Caenorhabditis elegans: one gene and its partner. The protein of the gene in region 1 interacts with the protein of each later gene in a pairwise test. Each region holds a gene or a part of one and is shown on either strand. Other genes may lie near its edges.

What was found. Proteins that work in one complex are often made in the same cells at the same time.
Region 2: the proteins of math-41 (region 1) and B0336.7 interact in a two-hybrid assay, tested with the Caenorhabditis elegans proteins (one large-scale study listed by BioGRID).

Annotation. Positions count from the first base shown.
Region 1 is NC_003280.10:1,822,767-1,830,653, reverse strand, and holds math-41 (MATH domain-containing protein), read right to left. Parts: upstream 6,026-7,887; 5' UTR 6,015-6,025; coding exon 5,945-6,014; intron 5,894-5,944; coding exon 4,895-5,893; intron 4,845-4,894; coding exon 4,707-4,844; intron 1,726-4,706; coding exon 1,605-1,725; intron 1,558-1,604; coding exon 1,283-1,557; intron 1,189-1,282; coding exon 1,062-1,188; intron 1,015-1,061; coding exon 630-1,014; 3' UTR 426-629; downstream 1-425. Other genes in the region: math-40 (MATH domain-containing protein), read right to left, coding at 1-7; fbxc-19 (F-box domain-containing protein), read right to left, coding at 7,653-7,770, 7,820-7,887.
Region 2 is NC_003281.10:5,694,229-5,699,110, forward strand, and holds B0336.7 (THAP-type domain-containing protein), read right to left. Parts: upstream 3,139-4,882; 5' UTR 3,121-3,138; coding exon 3,112-3,120; intron 3,066-3,111; exon of another isoform or gene 3,063-3,065; coding exon 2,846-3,062; intron 2,684-2,845; coding exon 2,537-2,683; intron 2,406-2,536; coding exon 2,197-2,405; intron 1,924-2,196; coding exon 1,472-1,923; intron 1,027-1,471; coding exon 555-1,026; 3' UTR 501-554; downstream 1-500. Other genes in the region: B0336.13 (Transcription initiation factor IIA small chain homolog), read left to right, coding at 1-106, 221-353; lgg-3 (Ubiquitin-like protein atg-12), read right to left, coding at 3,322-3,405, 3,459-3,551, 3,603-3,782; Regulator of G-protein signaling rgs-5, read left to right, coding at 4,463-4,514, 4,570-4,701.

The DNA of each region.
Region 1 (7,887 bases):
TGGGCATTGCACGCACTGAAACAGAAATTTTCGACTATTTTTTTAAGGCAAAGTTACAAATATAATTATAAAAACAAAACAATAGATGACTTGTGACCGTGGGAAGCATAAATAAACAAATATAGCAATAAAATTGAGCAAAAAAATCGGAATGCGCTTCACCACTAAAAAATAAAAGTGAGCAAAATGTGAGTAAGGAGTAGCAATAAAATCGATATGATTCAGTCAATGGAAAATAATTGGACAAACCAGCAAGCATTATGCTCGTTATCAGTGCGTAGAGAAAATTTTTCTCCTGATGGCATTTTAGTGTTTCGAGGTTTACCAAGTCTTATGAGTCTCAATGCTTTCTCCCACACTGCTTACATTGGAGCTCTGAGTTTCCTGACATTCGGAGCTGTACTTTAATGCGGTTGAGAGGTTGATCACGGCTCTATTCTCTTTATTCGTTTTATAAATTGTGAGAAAAAATATAGTGACATACTTTCAAATATTGATAAGGAAAATCAGCACCATAAAGTTATTTCTTTAAGTATATTTTACATCCACATTTTTGTAAACTTGAAATCATTTTATTTAGAATTAGAAAAAATAAAACTGGACCAATTTGGATATTACAAGTTACAAAATTAACATCCAAAAGCCATCTCCATCCACTCCTCCATTGAATATTCCCGATCTCCTACTGGAATTACAATTCCAGATAGTCTTCCAACAGGTGGCCGCTCTTCAAATCCGGTCATTTTTATAATTTTGACACGCGCTTCAATTATGATACTGTCGTTGACCGCATACTTTCTCTCCATATCATCCCATCGAATTAATTTATCATAACCGTAACTAGCAGGCTCGTTAAGCGTGCTTGATGCCGTAAAAGACAATCTTTGGCCATTTGAAGACTTCAATGTTAGAACAAGTTCCACCTCAATAGACCAGTCCTTGCTGTCAAAATGCTTTTTTTCACATTGTAGATACATTCCAAAAAAACCTTCTCTTCTTTGAATTTCTATTCTCCTGAATTTAACAGAGCTATATTGAAATAGTAATTTTAAATAACTAACCAAGGAATATTGTAATGTGTTTCTACGTTGGTAGTATATATACCTCTTTCTTTAATGTTTGAAACATTTTGAACAGTGTGATTCAACATAAAGGTTTTCTGGTTCATTGTTTCAGTGCACGGAGAATCTGAAATCAGTTTTTTAAGACGGATGAAAAAAATTAATCAGAATATGAAAGCATAACCAAAGGTATTTGATTTTTGAATTCAATAATAACTAACCCAAAATGTTTAATATCTTAACATGTGCTTCAACCACGATACTATCATCCACAACATAATCACTTTCCAACTCCTTCCAACTGATAAACTCAAATCCACGCCCTGTCGGCTTTGCAAATGTGTATTTCCAGTTTTTCATCAAACTTTTTCCATTGTGTGACACCAATTTCAATGTAATTTCAGTTTCAATCGACCATTTTCTGTTTTCACATTCTTCCTTTTCGCATCTTAAATACAACTGGAAATTATCATTTGTCTTCTCGATCCTTATCCGCCTAAAACATGCTCCATATTAACTTCAAAAATAGTTTGTTAAACTAACCATGGAATATTGAATCGGTCTTCTAAGTTGGTGTGGTAGCGTTCTCCGTCCACAAATCGTGAGATATTTTTAACATTTTCGCTGATGGAAAACTCTTTGCAAGAATTGGGCATTGTACGTACTGAAAAGGTTGATTTTTGACTACTTTTTTGGGCAAAGTTACTACAGTGCTCCACATAATGATACGGCCACCCCCAAATTTTGGTATAACTCAAAACTGGGTTGAGATAGCAAAACATAGTTTCTTGTGAAAATGTTTGCTATACTAACTTGCTTTCAGATAAGTATTGGAAATATAACTGAACCGTTCGTAAAAAAGATAAACCATTTTTTCATGAAAAACCATATTAAAAAATCCACAAAATGATACGGCCACCCTTGGTTTTTGTTGTCTTTTTCGTTTTCTTTGCAATTTTTTTTGCTAAACGTTAAGTTTCATGTTCGTTTGTGTTTTTACAGCTATGTTGTCGTGGAATAACTTCAACTGACTACGAAAAAGGACAAATTGTGCCAAATTATCTCAAGGCTTCTCGAATCGTCAGATTTTTCGTGATTTGAAACTTTCGAGAGATATGATCACTCGATATGCTTCCAATCCTGCCGCTTATTGCACCAAAAAGTGTTCTGGTCCCCCACCACTTCTTTCTGGTAGAGACAAGCGATATATCGTTCGTCGAGCATCCAATTGAACAGTACCTTGCTCAAAAATTAGGAGCGAGATGAATCTGGCAGTGTCTGTTGAGACCGTACGACATTTTTTTTTTGAAATCTCAGTTTAACAAAAGACGAAAATTAAGAAAGGCTCCTTTCATTACCAAAAAAACCGCCAAAACCATATTCCGTTTGCTTAAAACATCCAGAGAACTAACTGGAGACAAGTGAGGATTACGGTATAATCATTCAAGCCAATTTTTTAGTTTCAGTTCAACTTTTCTTTTCTCAAATCGTGCCAGTAATCACGGTAGCCATCCGGTTTATCACAGTTGAACTTTTTCTCGTCACTGAAGATGAACTGAAACTAAAAAATTGGCTTGAATGATTATACCGTAATCCTCACTTGTCTCCAGTTAGTTCTCTGGATGTTTTAAGCAAACTGAATATGGTTTTGGCGGTTTTTTTGGTAATGAAAGGAGCCTTTCTTAATTTTCGTCTTTTGTTAAACTGAGATTTCAAAAAAAAAATGTCGTACGGTCTCAACAGACACTGCCAGATTCATCTCGCTCCTAATTTTTGAGCAAGGTACTGTTCAATTGGATGCTCGACGAACGATATCTAGCTTGTCTCTACCAGAAAGAAGTGGTGGGGGACCAGAACACTTTTTGGTGCAATAAGCGGCAGGATTGAAAGCATATCGAGTGATCATATCTCTCAAACGTTTCAAATCACGAGAAATCTAACGATGCGAGAAGCCTTGAGATAATTTTGCTCAATTTGTCCTTTTTTGTAGTCATTTAAAGTTATTCCACGACCCATAGCTGTAAAAACACGAACGAACATGAAAACTAACGCTTTGCAAAAAAAAATTGCAAAGAAAACGGAAAAATATAACAAAAACCAAGGGCGGCCGTATCATTTTGTGGATTTTTAAAAATGGTTTTTCATGAAAAAATGGTTTATCTTTTTTACGAACGGTTCAGGTATACTTCCAATACTTATCTGTAAGCTAGTCAGTACAGCGAACATTTTCACAAGAAACTATGTTTTGCTATCTCAACCCAGTTTTGAGTTATATCAAAATTTGGGGGTGGCCGTATCATTATGTGGAGCACTGTACTTGCTTCGGCACTCTCTGAAGACGTCTACAACACTGTCGTAGAAGTCGCAGATTTCCTCAAGGTCTGAGTCCGCAGTTGGAGCATAGACTTGAATCACCGTGCAGTTGAATTTTCGGCTCACTTTGAAGGTGAGTAAGCCGATGCGGTGACTGAGAAATCGTATTTCTACGATTTTGGGAAGGAGGGTGCTTTGAACTATGAAGCCGACCCCTCCGGATACAGAACTTTCATTCCGTTTGCCTAAGAAGACACCGGTACCGTCCTGATGTATCAAGTGTGCTTCGGCTGCTCGTTTGGTTTCACACAATCCGATGACGTCGAATTGGATCCGCCTCGTCTCTTCTAGCAGCTCAGCAAGTCGATCATCCGAAGACAAGGACCTGCAGTTGAATGTGCACACGCGATAGTCAGTTCTTCTTGTTTTGTCCCGCGGCTTCTTAATTTCCAAGTCCGATTGACAGATGGTTTGGACTCCGAGATTAGATCGCCTCTTCCGACGTGCTCCAGGAACTGTCTTTCCCTTTGCAGAGGCCGGATGCGGAGGACTGAGGCAGGGTGGGTTGCTGTTTAGAGCAAAAGTTGTGTCTCTAGATACTCTATAATGACCTGCCAATCTAGAGCCGCCCGGACAGAGAGTATTCGACACTACCTCTGACCTGCGTGAGACGGTGTACTTCTTGGCCAGATAATTTGCACTTGGTTCCAAACCAAGCCACTCTCGATGTGACGAAATCATCGAGTTTGTTGAAGTGGTTATCTGTTGATCCCTTTCGCCACGAAGAGGCTTAGTACAGAAAGAGTATCATAGTAACCAAATATCATAGTAAAACTTTTCGAGAAAAATTGAAAATTTTTTATTTACTGTCAAAAAGGTACAATTACTCAGTTTTGCCATTCATAATTTTGGAAGTCGACCAAAAAAAATTTCCTACGATTTTTATACTTTAATTTTATATTAATTAAGTGTGCCAAAACACTCTAGAGGTCAGAACATGCGACATTGCTTTGGATTTCTTTAAAAACATATATTTTTCAAAAATTTGGCAGTGTGCCAGAACTTTGACTGGAAACTTTGAAAAAATTCAAAATTTTTGGTGCCACTCCACTATTATAATATTTAATATTATAATATTATATATATAATATTATAATATATAATATTATAATATAATATAATATAATATTTGAAAAACAAGTAAGCCATAAAATTCAAAGGAGAATTGTTTTTTTTTTGATAAATGACTTCCAAAAAAAATTTACAAACATTGAGCTTTTTCTAAATTTCAAAAAATCATATAAAATTTAGAATTTGTTAAACATTTTTTACTATAATATTTGCTGAATTTGCCGAGCGTGGCAAATTTGCCGAATTTGCCGAGCCTGGCAAATTTGCCATATTTGCTGAGCTTGGCAAATTTTCCGAATTTGCCGAGCTTGGCATTTTCGCATGATTCGCCGCACACCTCTGTAAAATCAAAAAGTGGAGATATATTGTTTCTAAAATGGAATACCTACGCTCTGGTTGATTTGGCGCCCTACGAGAGCGCCATTCAAGTTTTTTTGAATCACGTGAGTCTTTGAATCTTTCTTCAGGATTGCGGATAAACTTTGCCACGTCTTCATCTTCATCAACCATTGTTGCTTCCAATGCGAACCTTTCTGCTTCCAGCCGCTGCGATTCTTCAATTCTTCTCCGATCAAGTTTAGCCCGAATTTCTTCCTCCTGTTTCTTCTGATTCTTGAATTCCCGCTGAGCTCTTTCAATTTCTTGAAACTGATTTGGAGTGTATCCTATTGTGAGATTCCTATTTTGCGTCTGAGAGCTCATGGGCAGAGGCTTGTATGTTGATTGAGATTCTGTATGTTGATTGAAGTACACTGCTGGGGCTTCCCTTTGGAAAGCTGATTTATACTCACTGGACTGTGGAATTGAAGATGGGATGATTGTTGTTGTTTTACGACGATCTCGACTGTTCATATATCTCGATCGTGACGGTGAAGGACTTCTGTCTAAGTTCGATGATTGCACAGTTGTGAGACGGCTTGTGCCAAGATGTGATTGTTGTATTGGCGGAGTCGTAGTTACTTTCGTGGACGGATTTAGGAATGGATACTGAGAGCTCCTGTAGCTCGTTGGAAATATGCTTGCTTGAGAAGACACGGGCAGAGTTTCACGTACTACAGCTATTTTTGATGGTGCTGTGTGCCCAGAGAAAGATAGTGGTGAAGCAGCCGAGTCTAAGTTTGATGATTGCACAGTTGTGAGATACTTTGTGCCCGAAGTTCCCAGCTGCGATCGTTGATCCACTGTTGAGCCACCACCATAATCAACTGTTAATTGCCTTGATAAACGTTGGTCCAGTGTTGATCCACTTCCATCATCCTCTGCCAAGTGTTTTGACAAACGTGGACTTCTACTTTCAGAATGATGTACACGGGATTCATCTTTGGAACTGCTCGTTTTTTGTTCTTTTCCAGTGTACTGATACTGATAGTGCAATTTTGCACCAGAAACTGAAAATTAATACATTTTAAATTTTATTTATACATATGTCATAAACTCACATGATGTAGATTTTTGAAGATTTGGAGGATGAGTCCGTGGTCCTAAATAGTTTTGATCTTGGTTGGCCATTATGCCTTTTTCTGTAAATGTTAAGAGTAAAAACCGTATTTCGAGTACACTTTTGTGCAAGCAAAATTTTAACAATGAGAACAACAGAGATGCAAGGTTTTTTGTCTAAAAAAATGTTTTCATTTTACCGTTACATTTCAAAACGAGACATGTGTCATTTGAAAAATATATACTGAAGGGTGGTCACTGCAAAATGTTGAGCCTTTAATTTTGATCTAAACATTTTTCAGTACATTTTTTCACTAATTTCGAGGCCTCTATAATTGCACCAGATGCTGAAACTTTTCAAGGACAGGTAAAAATTATGAAAAGTGAGGGATCACCACCAGGCAGTGTACCTGAATCCCAGATCCGCAGTGCATAGCACTTGAAGAACGGATCGTCCTTTAATCCTTTTAATCCTTTGGGGTACTTTTTGGGGGGATCGAAACCCATAAATACCGTTTTTGGATAATTTCTCGCCAGTATGCGGCAAAGAAATTTTCGAAAACTTTCCTAAAATGTTTACCTACCCTTAAATATTTTGAATAACATTGAAAGTTTGCAAAAACACTATTTCAACAAAACCATACAGGCCTCTAAAGTAGTGGAAAAATTCACGGAAAAAATTTGAGATGGAAATTTCGAAAGTTGAGATGAGAGTTTAATTAAAATTATTTCTAATAAAAATGATAATAAAATTAAAATTATTCCTTATACATAAAGCAACAGTATTCCTGTAAAAATAGTGAGAAGAGCGATTGAAGACTAAATCAAGTTGGTTAGAAAAGTCATAATAAACGACTCTTCATGCACAACACACACGCACACAGGCACATATAAAAACTGATAACAGACCGGCGCCACACAAAATGTAAGCGATCGCCTTAAAGTACCGGGTGAAATGAAAATTTGCGAGACTCAGAAAGAGAAAATTGATAAGGTTCGAAACTTGGGAAGACAGTTTAGGCACTGTTTAAACACTTCATTGAGATGTGGGTGGTAAATTGATAATAAAATAGGTGATTCACATTTACATACGCTTGGAAAATACACCACTGAAAAATCAAACAAAAGTGAGAAGTTTAAATGTTTTTTCCAAAAATATGGGGGGGGGGGGGGGTGAATCTTGGTTCAGGGAAAGTAAATCTTTCTAGTCCCAGTATGGCTTAAATTTGGACTAAAAGTACATAAAGGCAGGAGGCTTTGGCTTATCTTTAGGTTTGAAATAATGAGAAATTACTTGAAATCGAGATTGCTTTTAGAAATTTCGGCGGAAAAATAATCGAAATTTTTTTCAGTCATGATTCGTTTGACTTTGTCAAATTTTGCTCTTTGAGCCAAATTTGGCAAATTTTTCACACAAATAGTGCTTAAAACGTGCTTGATTATTCGTAAAACCAAAAAGGGTTCCATGAATTTCCGTACTAAATTCGAAAATCTTGAAGAAACCGAAAGTTTCTAAAAGACCATACCCACAAATTTTCCTAAAATTCACCAAAAAATGTTAGCAACTATGCTCTTTCAGATACCAAACTAAGAATTATACTTAACCGTGCTGTTTTTGAGATATTCAGGCCTTGATCCATGACGGTCAGCCAAAAAATGTGTAAAAATAAAATTAACAAATTATTTTTATTGATTTAATTAAATTAGAGCTTAAACAAAAAACTCTTGTCTCTGAACTTTCACATCCAAAATGCACGTGTTCACATTGTAACTGACCACAATATCCATGAAGTTTTCCTTGTAAAAAGTGACACAGTTATGCCTTATTCTGCAATAGAAAAACCTACAATATACATATCTAACACAAGACAACTTACTCTTTATAAACACGGGTCTGCAACTCAAGTGCCTTAAAAATCGCTTGCTCATTTATCCCTTCAAATGA
Region 2 (4,882 bases), on another chromosome or scaffold:
CGACACAACTGCTCACTTATCGATATTGTGATAACGTTTGGACGTTTATTCTCAATAATGTCACGTTGAAAGATCCCCAGCGATCGTTTGATGAGCCTATTGATAAGTGAGTGTTTCTTTTATTTGTATTAAAAATAAAAAATCTAGAAAAAAGCAATTGTTTATTAATTTTCTATAAAAATTTTTGTTTCTCGATGATCTATAATTATTAATATTTCAGACTGAAAGTGGTCGCCTGTGATGGTCGTCAAACAAGCCTTCTGCAGACATTGAGCGCCCAGGGACCATCCAAGAGAGTCAATCGAGCTCACGCGGCCGCTGCAGGCGACGATGAAGATGATGACAGTGATTAGATGAACTTTCCAAATCATTGTTTCATTTTCTAATCCAATTTCTTCTCTTACACAAGCTTTCTATTGTATGGGCCCAGCTCATTTCTTTTCTAGATCTCTCACGCTGTCACAGCAAGACCTCCTCTATCTCTCTCAATCCTATAATATATTTTTCGAACGAACAACAATTTATTGATTTGAAAAAATGCAAACAAGGAAAATCTAAACAACAAAACAACTCCCGCAAACACCTCTCCGAATGCATATTGCTCTTGAATCACACGAGATCCGCTTCTGGCAACGCTTGCATTCTTTCTCATCGAGAATGTGCTTTTGAAGATGATCAACCAGACTTTGTGTTGACGAAAAGCTGGTCTTCAAGCATAGATGGCACTTTATTCTGGACTTTTTCGATGGCTTAGGCTTGCGATCCGGATCTTGGGAATATAGTACAGGTGGTTCATCCAAGACATAATTCGTTTCGATCACTTCCTCGGTGATGGGATCTTCGAAATTACCATCATACATCATAATCGGCGGATCCTCTTTCTCATGCACCGCTTCAACTTCTCGATTGTCTCCGGGACGGGTCACGGCATGCCATTCCAGGGAATTTCCACCCTCATCAACGTAGACAACCTCATCGAGAAAATTGGCTTCTCCATTTTGACCGGGAACTGGACGCCAAGATGATCTGAAAAGAAGTGATTAGGAAATCAGAAAAAAATCAAATGCTTAAAGTATATTGTCATTTTTGAAACGATTTGAAAGCCTATTTTAAAAACGCAAACATGTTTCCTCGGCGTGTCTCGCCACGATTTTTGTACTCAAATCTGAATTCAGGTCTTGCCCCGACTGAAACTTTATGGCAACCGTACCCTCCGGTTACGGTAGATTTTCTTTTCTCTTGACAATCGGAGGTTTAAAAAATAAAAATTAAAATTGTGGAAGTGTTTCCCTGTATTACATAGAAAAAATGAATAAAATAATTTTCTCCAACATTATCACTGAAAAACGTTTTAAGAAAAAGTATTGCAAATCTACCGTTGTCATGGGTACGGTAGCTGAAAAATGTTTTGCCAAGACCCATTGATCGAATTTTATCCTGTGAATTCATATTTTTAAAAGAAAAAACATACTTGTAATCGTAGACATTATGAGGTCTACATGCAAAATGATGTCCATTAAATGGATCTCCATTGCTCAAAAATTTATATCCATCGAGATGAATTGTCCGAATGACGTCACGAATTCCACTTTCAGTTTTTGCTTTTCGACAACTCAAACACGCGTAGAATTTCGTATTATTCAAACCATATCGATTAAAATGAAATTCATAATATAAATGTGGTTGAGCAACTGGAGTCATTACTGCAACTTGATGAACATTTCGTGTTTTATGCTTATTAAAAGGCATTCGATAGCGAATTTTGTACTCGACGACTGAAGAATTGTTGGTTGTATCGGTTGATTGCATCATTTCCATTTTATGCTTTACAGCGGGCTCCCATGGAAATGGCTCGGCGAGCCCCGGACGACGTTGTCGATATTTTGGAAGTGCGGTCATTTTCCAGAAGATTCGATCATCGATCTGAAAAGAAATATTAATTCTAAAGAAAAATTCAAAATTCAAAAAACTCGCTTGAAAAATAAAAAATTTCCTGCTATAAACTTTTTTTGTAATATTCAAACTTTTTCACAAATTCAAATTTTCCCAATATCGTTGGACTTGCCTTTTTTGGTTTTTTTTTGTGTTTTTGGCGAAAATGGGTCTTTTGATGTTTTTTTTTGGAGAAACTTTCTTTTTTTTAATTCCGTGCTTTGAGATAATTTTTTTCATGAAATTCGTAGAATTCCAACTAACCATGACAAAAGTGTCGGCTGAGAAGTGATAACAACAGATATATGGTTCTTGTGTTGCACTCTGAAGTACTGTAGCTGGAAGCCGAAAGAAATGTAACCATTGCTCTTTGAGTTCTTCTGATTTTGGCCACTTGAAAAGACGGATTTTTTCGGATTCGGAACGTTGGCAGACGAGACAGGAGGCGCTTGATCCAACTATATTTCGGATTCCTGAAAATTTCAAGGTCATGTTATTTTTTTTTCTGGATTTCCTTTCGCAAAGATTTGAATTTTGTTTCGTTTTTTAGCAATTTTAACCGGATTTTTTAAATAATCAAAATTCCAGTTTTAAATGCACATACTCTTATAATTTTCCTGTTTCTGATTGCCTTCAATTCTGTAAATCTCATGATAAACGAGATCTTCCATTTCATTCTCGTAATAAACTTTTTCAGCTTCAACCATTTCGTGAGCATTGTCTACTTGAACGGCGTTGTGTGGATAGACTTCTGTAAAAATTAATGTTTAATTTGATTTTTCTCAAATTTTAAAAGTTTTTCAAAAGATAAATTGGACCTGGAAGATCAAATTTTCAATTTCCCAAAAAAATGTTTGGAAACTTCAAAACTTGATTTTTTTCAATTTTTCCAGTAGTTCTATAAATAATGAACCTTCGTAGTCAATTTTCATGCTAACAGGAATTTCTTCATGATTGCTCGAAGTTGGCTCCTGATCACTAATATATTCCTGCTGAAACTGCTCGACCGGCTCAATATCCTTTTCATAAATCATCTCGTGTTGCTCCATATCAATCTCAGCTTCTTCCCCATCATCATCCATTTCCTCGTATTCCGACGAATCTCGATCATCCTCATCGTGATCGATTTTCTTAAATTTGAGATTCAATTTTTCAGTTTAAAAAAGTTCTAAGACTTACCTTGCTCATTATCTTTTATCTAGAGATCTGAAATATTTTAAAATTTATTTCCTGTTACTTTCTTTGAGAAGTGGAGATAGCAAGTAGATAAAGACTTGAAAAAACATATTATATTTTTTTGAAAAGTAAAAATGAAATTGTGGTATAAGTGAATTTATTGTGACATCAAGTACATATAATACATTTAAAAAATCCCGCTTCGCATGTTTTTCATCCGTAGGCCGGTGTAATGCTGTACTGAAGCTCCAGAATCTCCTTATCGGTGATTTTCACAGAATAACATCGGGATAGCGTCTGAAAATTTGATTTTTATAAAATTATATCGAGTTTTTCAAATTAAAACTAACCTCAAACGTGGTGTCAGGAGATGGGGCAAATGTGTTATCAATGTACAAGAAGAGTGAGTTGTTGGCTTGAATATTCAGCAGTTTTCGCAATTTCTGGAAGAAAATAATATTATTTTCACATTTTTTAAGAATTTCAATTCTTACCAAGATGAAGGAAGCAACAGTGTCCGTTGGATTCACCACCATTTTCTTATTTTTAAGAACTGGCGCATCTGCGATATTCCTCAGCCTTACGGTCACCTTATCTGACTTTGGTGGTTCGGCGGAAGCTGCAGCGGTGGGTTCCGTATTTCCTGTTGGAGTTGTGGCGGTTTCTGTTTCCATTTTCTGCAAAAAACCCCACTTAAAAAGAAAAAACAAATGGGAATAAAGTATTAGAGCCGAAAAAATTCGAAAAAAAATTTGAATGATAACTACGGTTGCTTTGAAGGAACATACTTAACATTTTGACCTTGGTCTCGCCTGGAATATTGCTATTTTATGGAAAGAACTGGATTTAAGATGTGTTTTTTTAAAAAACAGGGTTTTTAAAATCTAAAAAACTAATTAGCTCGTAAAATTTTAAAAATTCAATAATATTTTACAAAAAAATCTGACACACAAGCATTTATACTTGCTATAGTTTGAAAACTTCAAACGTGAAAAACGCTAGAATGTAAAGGAACACAATCAACTCTGGGAACTTGCGTCTCGACTGGAATTTAAAAAAACCAATTACTATTGTAGTAAAATGGCGGAAGTTTGAATTTCTCTCAGAATATTGAAGAAAATATTTCTTAAACGCTAAAAAAAGGTCGCAGCTGACATATATTTTCTTGCCTCGTTTCTTCGAGTGGTCGTTGACGCGTTTGTCGTGTGCTTTAGAGAAAAGAGACGGAGACGTGCAGACAGGGGGTGCGCAGAAGTTGATAACCCTCTTGTGGACAAAAATAAATCCCTTCTATTTATTTCATAAAGCTCGATTTTCTAAATTTTACTCAGAAAATGTCATAAAATATTGAAAAATGAGCAGTTTTCTCGGGCGACTTCGCCGCAAAAAAGACAAAGAACAAAATGGCAAGTTTCTAAGAAAACCACGTAAGGAATCGATAATCTAATTGAAAAAATTTAGGTCATACTGCCACGTCATCTGACGGAGCTTATCAAAATGGGAATGCTCATAGAGATTCACTTGTAAATGATCATATTTGTATTCCAGCACAGAGAAATTCATTAACAGTTGCTCAACAATCAGCGGATATCGGTGAGTTGATTGTAACTTCTGAGAACACATTTTAAAAATTCTGAAAAACTCGAAAAAATATGAAGTAACCCAATACTAGTTGATAAGTAGGAAAACATTTATAACAGGGCGAAATTGATCAAGAGTCTCGCGTCGTACCCCCGCCCACAAAAGAGGCGTGGCCCAGAGTCAGAGAAAATTG